Linked DNA regions of Arabidopsis thaliana. The protein of the gene in region 1 purifies or fractionates together with the protein of each later gene. This does not show direct contact. Each region holds a gene or a part of one and is shown on either strand. Other genes may lie near its edges.

Region 1 (4,196 bases):
GATGCTAGAAGCACAAAGGGACTTCATACAAGCATCGGTAGGGCTGAGCAGCAAAGGGAAGCTCTTACTACCCAAAATGCTCCATTGTTATGCCAAGAGTTTGGTGGAGGATTCGAACTTGGGGGTCTGGATATCAAGGTACCTTCCTCCACATCAAGCTGCTTTTGTGGAGCAATGCATCTCTCAGAGAAGACAAAGCCTTCTCGCTTCACGGAACTGCGGAATACTCCCCTTCGATTCTCGTTTCAGATACCTGTTTCTCCCCGACGACAACACCTCGTTGTAATAACAGTTCAAAGACTCTCTTCTGTTGTAAAAAAAGCTTTAACCGACCTCATAAGAACGAACAGTGAGAGGAGGCTGTTTCATGATCATGGTTACTACTATTATTCCAACATAGCTTTTGGCTTATAGTGTACATGTTATTCAGGATATGCATATTAATTCTGAGAAGTCTCAATATGTTGTGTTTCAACTTTCTTTCAGAAAGACATAAATGGAAGAGTTGAGACTAGTCATCTATTTAAGTGCGAGAAGTCTCAACATGTCTTGATCATATCGACGTTTTTATAGCTTAGTGTTGCTGATAAGATTTCTACAACTAAAATCTTTATTTACAATCGACGACCACAGCAAATGTTTTATTTATGTCTCTTCCTACACAACTACAATAGGTCCCAAAACTTCAGACTTAGCCAAAGTATGATGCCGCTTCACCTTCTGTGAGCTCCTCTCACGGTTGTATGCTTCAACCTACACCATGAAAACAAAGCACAACAAAATCAAATCCTTAAATCAATAGAAATCAATCTAAAAAGGAAAACGCTCCGGATTACGAAACCCTACTGCATCTCTAATTATCTTTGTTGTTGCAGAAGCTCTTGAAGAAGCAAGACGCAGGCAATGAAGGATTACACTCTGGTTCACGCCTTCTTCTCCTGGTTTTTGGATTGCGCATATATCGCCATTGGCATTGACTGTCACAGTCATTCTCCCACACATAACAGCTTCTTCAACGTAAGTTGGGTCCATCACCTGCATAAGAACACAACACACTTGTAATCTCAGATGCAAACAAAAACGTAGTAAACAAGATTATCAATAAACAAAACACAATTTTTTTACCAAGATACTGCCTTTATTAAAAAATCCAAACGTGAAGGCTATTGGGAGATGATGTATTATCAAAGGAAGTGGTTCCCTTTCCTGTAAAAGAAACCAAATATAGTACAAAACAGTTGAAGTTGAGAACTTCCTTCTCTCTAGTTATTAAGTTCATCAACTAAACTGAAAAAAAAAAAATATGAATTACTAACTTCGGGTGGATGTATGATCACGTCTTGACTGTTGTCCCCTCCTACAGTGCAATCAGGTCTCCTGAAAGTCATGAGTGCGGCTAAGGCAGCAACATTAGCAGCATCAACCAAGTTCCTGTAAGAGAGTGAGTAACAATATACACATAAAAGATCATTCTCACAACAAGAACCTTGGATAAACATGAAGAAGACCTACCCTCCATTGTCCAAAATGTGAAGATCAATGCGAACAGACCAAACCAGCTTTCCGGCTAGAACACAAAGCGACTCTGTATCTACTGCACGGCTTTCTCTGCAACCAACAACACAAAGACCATCAATACAAAAAACTTTGTTTGTAGCATCAAATCAAAAAGAGAGGTTTACCGTAGAGCACGGTCTATAATACGGCCAAGCTCAACAGCAGATTCACCAGGATGCCCTGGCTCAAACGATGGATCAGCCATTGGAGAAAACTCGGTGAAGATAGAGAAGGAGCCTTCACTAGGTCTGTCTTTGTAAGGTTGTACTAGCTGAGCAGTCACAAAAGCCATTACATGAGTCTGACCCAGTTGAACTTGTGAGCTGCCATATTCCCTATCGAAAACTCACACAGATTAAATTAATCATCAGTAACAACATTGCAAAACCAGAGATCAAAAGCATCAACAAAAATTGAAGCTTTAAAGGTAAACATAATCAATGAATAGGAGAAAAACTCACTTGCCAAACTTAATAGTAAGCTTGCGGTAATCATAAAGGCCACGACCATCGACTCTGAGCTCAGATTGCAACGCAGATTCAACGAATTTGCTCTCATTCACAGTCAACCTCCACATATTATTCAACCTCCCCTCCATTGTTTGCTAGTGAGCTACTACCACAAATTGATGATTGAGAAACAAAACAAGATACAAAAAATCAAAACTTTCAGAATATAAAAAAGCCTAGAGAATCAACATAAGCAGCTTTCCCCAGAGGGAGATTAAACCACTAACCTTCTTCCGTTCAGCTAGGGTTTTGTGGCGCGAGGATTTTGTGAACAGAGAAGAGGAGGGATTTATTTCAATTTAACCCCTCGTCTTTTCAGTATTTGTCTTATGGACCAATTTTCATTTATCTCTTTTTTTTTCCTTTTAATAATATTTGTTTGATGGAGGGACCGTGTCTAGTCCTTCTCTTATCAAACGACTGACCAGCTCTTATCATTGGCCCCGTTACCCTAACGGTCACAAGGGTTTTCGTCTGTTTGATACACCCAGTCTTGTCTATCTTGACTATTCTGGTTATCCCGCAGAAGATTATGAGGTTGATTTGGGTTCCCTTGTAGAAGCTACACTCATGGGAGCGTCTTCCAGATGACTATTAATTATTATGTGGATGGTGATACAGAGGATATTGTTGGTTATGTTACGAATCTGGTTGCAGGGATAAGCAATGTTAAAACCCTTCACTTGTCCGCTGTTTCTCTTGAGGTCAGTCTCTGCTACGTCTTCTTCTTCTATTGGTTGATTCTATTTGAAGTGCATGCTAGCTAGCAAAGTCTCATTTTGTGTATATGTTTGTTTTGGTTGTGACAATAGATCCCAGGTATTTTACTCGTGCTGTAAATCAATCCCGGTGTTTCCCAACCTCGTTACTTTATCTTTTGAGTGTAACAAAGAAAGAGGCTGGTAAGTGGAGCCACTTCTCCTTAACTACTCTCCAAATCTAGAAACTTAAGTCATCAAGGTATCATCTATTTCGTTCGATCACCACGCACTTCTGTTTCTTTGCTAAAGTTATTATTCCCATGAATTTGCTTATGCCTTGTTCTTTTTGCTTTCACGGTCTTGTGCATGAAGTTACAGACAAACGTGGTGACGCCTGCGTTTGCACCCCTAAGAGGGATAAGAGGAAGAGCTGAAACGAATGAGGCATTTCTTGGCAAATTTAAAACGTCTTGAAACTGTCAATGTTAATGTCGAATTGAGTGAAGGCAAGGATGTTAAGAAAAGGTTCCTGACGATCACCAATGCTCTTATGAAGCTTCCCAGAGTTTCATCAAACTGTCTGATCCATTTCACCATGGAATGTCTAGTAGGTGAATTCTACTACTTTAGTTTGGCAGTGTATTTTTTGTTAATTTCATTGGCTTTCGCCGTACTAAGATCATTTCTATATACATTATAATGGGTTCGTTGCCTAATGACTCCAAAATGCTTCGGGGTCTTGGTTTCGTTCAACTGGATAAACTCTAGTATTCTAGTTGAATATAAAGTAAAAACTTGCATTTCCAGTCTAGTATATGTAATGATTGAAAATCAAGAATTTATTAGCTTATAGCTTTGCCAAAAATACCACATATACAATACGAAGGAATCAAAGAGTAAGTAAATTAAGATCAAATTCAGTAGTCGAATTCAATAGGATTCAATGAACAGAATCACCAAAAATTGAATCAAAATCACAATTCCCTTATACACATGTCTATACTTTAGAATACATGTAAGAAAAAATATCTATGTACCTCGTTGTGAACCTAAATTAGCAGTTGTGGAAGAGACCCATCTGCTCATTTTCCCATGAGCTCTCCTAAACTAGCTTCTTGAATCTCCAAATTAATCAGCCAAAAATATCTCATTCTTTCTTGATTCGCCTGCCATTTGGATCGTTACTTCAGGCACGAACCCTTGACCCCATAGACAGAGAATATAACATGTCTGTTAATCATTCAGGAGTGGAGGCCGTTGTATCAGCGGCTCTCTGCCGCACCATCTCCATCACCGCTGCTCTGCGTCTTGAATCTGCCTGTTGCTGCTTTCTACTAAAATGAGCTCTCAACTCTCTGCAAAAAATAAACTTGTCAGATCATTATTAAACACATCACCTTCTTGAACAAATCTATTCTGATAATTGAAA
Region 2 (5,014 bases), about 19 Mb from region 1:
AATCGCGGCTCTATCGTACGCTATAGCAGCTTCCTCCGCCGTGACAAAAGTCCCAAGCCAAATCCGAGTACGGCTCGACGGATCTCTAATCTCCGCCGCGAATTTTCCCCAAGGTCTCTGTCTCACGCCTCTGTACTTTTTAGGCTTCACCGACGTCGACACGTCATCTTCAACCACTACGCTTTCCTCCTCCTTGTGCTTACCTTTCCTCGCCGCGGTGGAGGAAGAAGATTCACCTTGGCAGAATCTAATCTCCTTCACGTATCGTTTCACTCTTGGAACCACCGTGACGTTGTTGTTGTCGTCGTCGTCGCTAGACGAGTCAGTAGCGAAAGGATCAGTAACAGTGATACGGACCAGTCTCGGAGACCCGTTAGATGGTGTAGCTGCTACGTTTGTGACCGTACGATTCTCTGTGAACTTCACTCGTCTCGTTCGTCTCTCCATAGAGAGAGAGAGAGAGAGGGAGTTAAAAAATGAAGAGAGGTTTTTTTCACTGTTTTGAATTTGCAGAGAGAGAGAGAAGAAGAGTCAAAAGGTTAAAGAAGAATCGCCGTTTCTCAGGAACATCCTTCTTAAATACTATTAACTCATCACTATTTTTGGAGATTTTTGTTTAGTAACGTGATTTTTTCTATGTAATTAATTTAATTAGATTTTAACTGTTACAGAGAAATTGATGCGTGTTCAACACTATTCATATGATATGAGACACTGACCCAATCAAAACTCATTCAACCTTATAACTAAACGTATCTTAAAATATAGTTGGTGAAATGACATACGTTTATCAAAGCTTAACCTATTGAAATTTAATCCGGTTAATGGAGTTTATAAACCGGGAATTAGATTTGGATTTAATGTAAAGAGGGACGATGCTTAAGGGCGGTTTCGTGGCGGCCAATGGGGGATCCAGAAACGGCTTTCCGCATCTCAGATTGAGACGTTAGATTTATGACACGTGGTAGTTACCGTACCGAAAGTAGAGCCAATTGTCCTAATCTATAGCTTGGTCTCCAAGCAACTTTTAACTCTTTTACGCGCGGTCTGTTTTACGTTTGCTACACGCGCCGGCTAGTGGGCTCCACGCGTGTGAGATTGGTCACGAGTATGTGTCAATTCGCATTGACCCAATATGGAAATTGTGAAGTTTAATGGTAATGAATCTAACGATGTGTTTGAAAGAGTAATAAAATCTCGTCTTTAATATTAAAATATATTTTTAATTTCGGAAAAAATTTATGATCTTTTGCTTGGAGACCAAGTCTCTTATCAGAAACTTTATTAGAAAAAGCTACTATTAAAAAGGTAACTAGAAATTAGATTTCCATAGTTAATGGTTGAGCTTTGACTAGATTTGGTCCTAAAATAATAATTGAAAAATAAGCTTTTATTATATCGATAATTCTACAAGTTAATATACCAAATCTTGTAACTTACAGTAATTCTATATTGTTTTATTTTGAACCTTATATAACTTACACGAATTCACCTGTGATTTTATAAAAAGATACATGTGATTTCAAGACTTTTTTTTTACGTGGGATTAGTCAGGTACTCGTGTTAAAAGTTAGACCTTAAAAATAACAGTCAGTTTGATTTAATAATAGTTAGTAGTATGTATATGGAACATTAAGTCGGAGAGGGGTTAAACTCTAGTGTATCGGGTTGCTTGGCATGGAACAGATATCGCGGAACCGGTAAGTCGGAGTGGTTAGCTTTCTGGGAGAGTTGTGGTGGGTTGGTGCGACGGCGGAGATAGGTGCAGATGGAAACCGGAATCTTCCAGCTGCGTTTCTCGATCCGTCGTCTGCGGCCGCAAAGCTGTGATGCTTGAGTCCGCCAGATATAAGGCTCCGACCACTCTGCTTCCGACCAGCAGCAAGGTTCGAACCTCTTTGTTTGTCGGTGACTTTTTCTGTTTAACCTATTTTGTAACTGGATTTCATCTGTGTATTGGGTCTTAGCCCATGCCCTATTGGGTTGTTTTTAATATATTAAAAAAAAAAAAATTGTATATGGAACATTAAATTGCATGACATTCGTTAGGATAGTCGTAGTAGGTACTACTTTTACTAGGTAGAGACTAGAGAGTGGTCTCTCTTAAATTGTCTAATATGGTTTTGTATACTTTTTGATCCAAACATACATACATAAAAAAAGAAGATGTTAGCAAACCTTAGTAAATAATTCCATCATCTCCTCCGTCAGGAACCCGTCATTTTCATATACCTCACTTTGCATTCATTTGTCGGCATTGCCACACGTAACTCCCGACACGTTGATACTACTATCAATATACTATTGACTTAGAAATTGATCTAGATACTATATTACTATTACTAATACATACTTGAAATAACAGAGTCAACAAGAAAAGCCTTGATAAAAGAAAACAACAACAATTTGAGCTATACTTTTGAAGGGATCTCACTCTTAATTCTCTTATTGCATGCATGTTCCCGCAATTTTGAGCTTTACTTTTCTTTGCAAGCGAATTACCAATTTGCCTGGCTTCATAAACTAGAAGTTATAAAAAAAAATCCTCCTGTGATTTGACGGTTTTACCCTTAAAATCTCACTTAATTCACAAAAAGGAACCAAAAAGCCCTAATCTTTATGTTGTCGACACTCTTTCAGTTCTCTCGACGCCGTCCATCGCCCTCCGTCATATCGCCGCCGCTAAAGTACTGGCAGAGGTAAATTCGTCTCTTGTTCCCTGTTCTGTGGGATCAGAAAGTATTAAACTTGTTCTGTTTCTGTCTTTCATTGCTCTCATCCTTGATTATCTCTACCTAGAGTTCACAACAATGGAGTACGTAAACCCTGAAGGTCTTCGATTAGATGGTCGCCGATTCAACGAGGTATGTTTGCATCTCTATTCACTGTCTTTGTAAGCCACTGCCTTCACAAGTTAATCGGTCTATTCGTGATTGCTTGTAATGAATCTCAGATGAGGCAAATCGTAGCTGAAGTTGGAGTTGTTTCTAAGGCTGACGGGTAAAACTCAAAATCTGTCTCTTATCTTTTTCCGTATCTCAGTTCTATATTCGGCACTTTTATATGAACAAAAATTCCAACTTTGTTTCCAGTTCTGCTGTCTTCGAGATGGGTAATACCAAAGTAATTGCAGCTGTTTATGGTCCAAGAGAGGTACTTGATTACTCTGTTACTCACCTATCAAGATTGATACTTTAATTGTATAATTCAGCGAATTGGTTATTTCTGTTAATGTGCTCCTTCAGATTCAAAACAAGAGCCAGCAAAAGAAGAACGACCATGCAGTGGTATGTATATGCTTTGATCTTGTTTAGTATTGTTCTTGGTGAATATGGAATGCTTATTGCTAATTGTATGTTTTGGTAGGTGTTGTGTGAGTATAGTATGGCTCAGTTTAGTACTGGTGATCGTAGAAGACAGAAATTCGACAGGTTACATTTTACTATATAGCTGAGAGACTCTTTGCTTTTTCTTACGAAAATCATAAAGTTTGAATTGTTGTGTATTATGATGGTCAGGCGATCAACAGAGCTATCTCTTGTCATCCGTCAGACAATGGAAGCTTGCATATTAACCGAATTGATGCCTCACTCTCAGGTTTACTTTTTACTCTCCGGCGATATTGAAATCTAAATTTTCTTTCTTCCTCCTCCTTTTGCTTGCTTCCTGATGAATTGTTTCCTTTATGCAGATCGATATTTTCCTTCAGGTTCTACAAGCTGATGGAGGTAAAATTAAACTAAACCTCTGTTCTGAAGTTGACCTTTTGATCTCTTTCAATCTCTGATCAGCCATTAGTGTTATGTTCTGTAATCAGGAACAAGATCAGCTTGTATCAATGCCGCGACTCTAGCTCTAGCAGATGCTGGAATTCCAATGCGTGATCTCGCTGTTTCCTGTAGTGCTGGATATTTAAACAGTACTCCTCTTCTTGATCTGAACTATGTTGAAGACAGTGCTGGAGGAGCTGATGTAACCGTCGGTATTCTACCTAAATTAGACAAAGTGTCACTCCTTCAGGTTTTTCTTCAACTCTTCATATCAGATTTCTATACATTCGCATTCAGATGATTCTAGACGCTTACGTTTGGGTTTAATGTGTAGATGGATGCCAAGTTACCGATGGAAACATTTGAGACAGTGTTTGCATTGGCTTCTGAAGGTTGCAAGGCAATTGCAGAGAGAATACGCGAGGTAACAATGGACTTCTGAATCTTTCTAAGTTTTCCCTTTCCACCATTGAAAAGCGTTCTTTGTTTTCTAAGTCTTTGGCTCTTCTGTCTTTGTGAAGGTACTTCAAGAAAACACCAAACAGCTAGAGTATCGCCGAGCTGCATAAACTTTAGAGTTAGAGAAAAAAACGTAAAGCTCCAAGATTTTTGTTAATTAGATTTTGCTGTTGTTTGTGGAAGTTGAGGATAAAAAGCTAGTAGTGCAAACTCTTTTTGGGAAAAATGAATCAATTTGGTAAAAAGATCAAACTGAATCGATTGAACACAACTTGTCCTCACATTCTTACATTAAGCCGAGGAAAAAAAAGACCAGAGGCTTTTTCTGTCACTACATCACAAGACTGGTCTGAGAAATCACCAGGTCATAAGCTCTAATGTGATAAAACAAGAATCAACAAAAAGAAAGAGATAAAAGAAACGGTGGCTCTGCTCTTCCAATGTTGCATACAGAAACTAGAGTCAGAATCCCTTGCTCTGTAGTTCGAGTTGATCGAAGCAGAAACTGGATTTAACAGCGGTCAATATTAGCCGGCCGGTCCATTCTTCTCCTGGCTTCAAAGTGATCGGTCTCTCCACTGCTGCACCATCCACACAAAGCATGCTTTTGTACTCTTCATCACCAAAATCCGCCATTGTTTTCGATTTCTTCTCCCATGGATTCCACACCACTGTACCATCCATCACGATTAATGAATCATATCATATACAACAAACAAGTAATCGAAACGAGTTGTTGTGCGATTATTACCGGTGTCTGGAAGTCCTTCCTTTCCGATAACATA

The links. The genes of interacting proteins can lie anywhere in the genome.
Region 2: the proteins of RRP45a (region 1) and RRP41 purify together in Arabidopsis thaliana (affinity purification with mass spectrometry; 2 studies listed by BioGRID, with this or other methods). This does not show direct contact.

Annotation. Positions count from the first base shown.
Region 1 is NC_003074.8:4,154,304-4,158,499, reverse strand, and holds RRP45a (ribonuclease PH45A), read right to left. Parts: upstream 2,447-4,196; 5' UTR 2,294-2,446; exon of another isoform or gene 2,170-2,293; 5' UTR 2,156-2,169; coding exon 2,019-2,155; intron 1,893-2,018; coding exon 1,683-1,892; intron 1,609-1,682; coding exon 1,513-1,608; intron 1,432-1,512; coding exon 1,317-1,431; intron 1,207-1,316; coding exon 1,126-1,206; coding exon of another isoform or gene 1,099-1,125; exon of another isoform or gene 1,036-1,098; coding exon 847-1,035; coding exon of another isoform or gene 811-846; exon of another isoform or gene 754-810; coding exon 658-753; 3' UTR 536-657; downstream 1-535. Other genes in the region: AT3G13000 (ubiquinone biosynthesis protein (Protein of unknown function, DUF547)), read left to right, coding at 1-286; HAC5 (histone acetyltransferase of the CBP family 5), read right to left, coding at 4,005-4,122. UniProt on the Arabidopsis thaliana protein: Probable 3'->5' exoribonuclease involved in the regulation of cuticular wax biosynthesis. Can perform exosomal functions and partially complement the yeast rrp45 null mutant.
Region 2 is NC_003074.8:22,800,707-22,805,720, reverse strand, and holds RRP41 (3'-5'-exoribonuclease family protein), read left to right. Parts: upstream 1-1,616; 5' UTR 1,617-1,886; intron 1,887-2,528; exon of another isoform or gene 2,529-2,640; 5' UTR 2,641-2,699; intron 2,700-2,799; 5' UTR 2,800-2,810; coding exon 2,811-2,864; intron 2,865-2,953; coding exon 2,954-3,000; intron 3,001-3,092; coding exon 3,093-3,153; intron 3,154-3,245; coding exon 3,246-3,287; intron 3,288-3,366; coding exon 3,367-3,431; intron 3,432-3,518; coding exon 3,519-3,597; intron 3,598-3,691; coding exon 3,692-3,728; intron 3,729-3,817; coding exon 3,818-4,020; intron 4,021-4,104; coding exon 4,105-4,194; intron 4,195-4,291; coding exon 4,292-4,339; 3' UTR 4,340-4,500; downstream 4,501-5,014. Other genes in the region: CRF6 (cytokinin response factor 6), read right to left, coding at 1-447; AT3G61610 (Galactose mutarotase-like superfamily protein), read right to left, coding at 4,692-4,900, 4,981-5,014. UniProt on the Arabidopsis thaliana protein: Non-catalytic component of the RNA exosome complex which has 3'->5' exoribonuclease activity and participates in a multitude of cellular RNA processing, maturation and degradation events.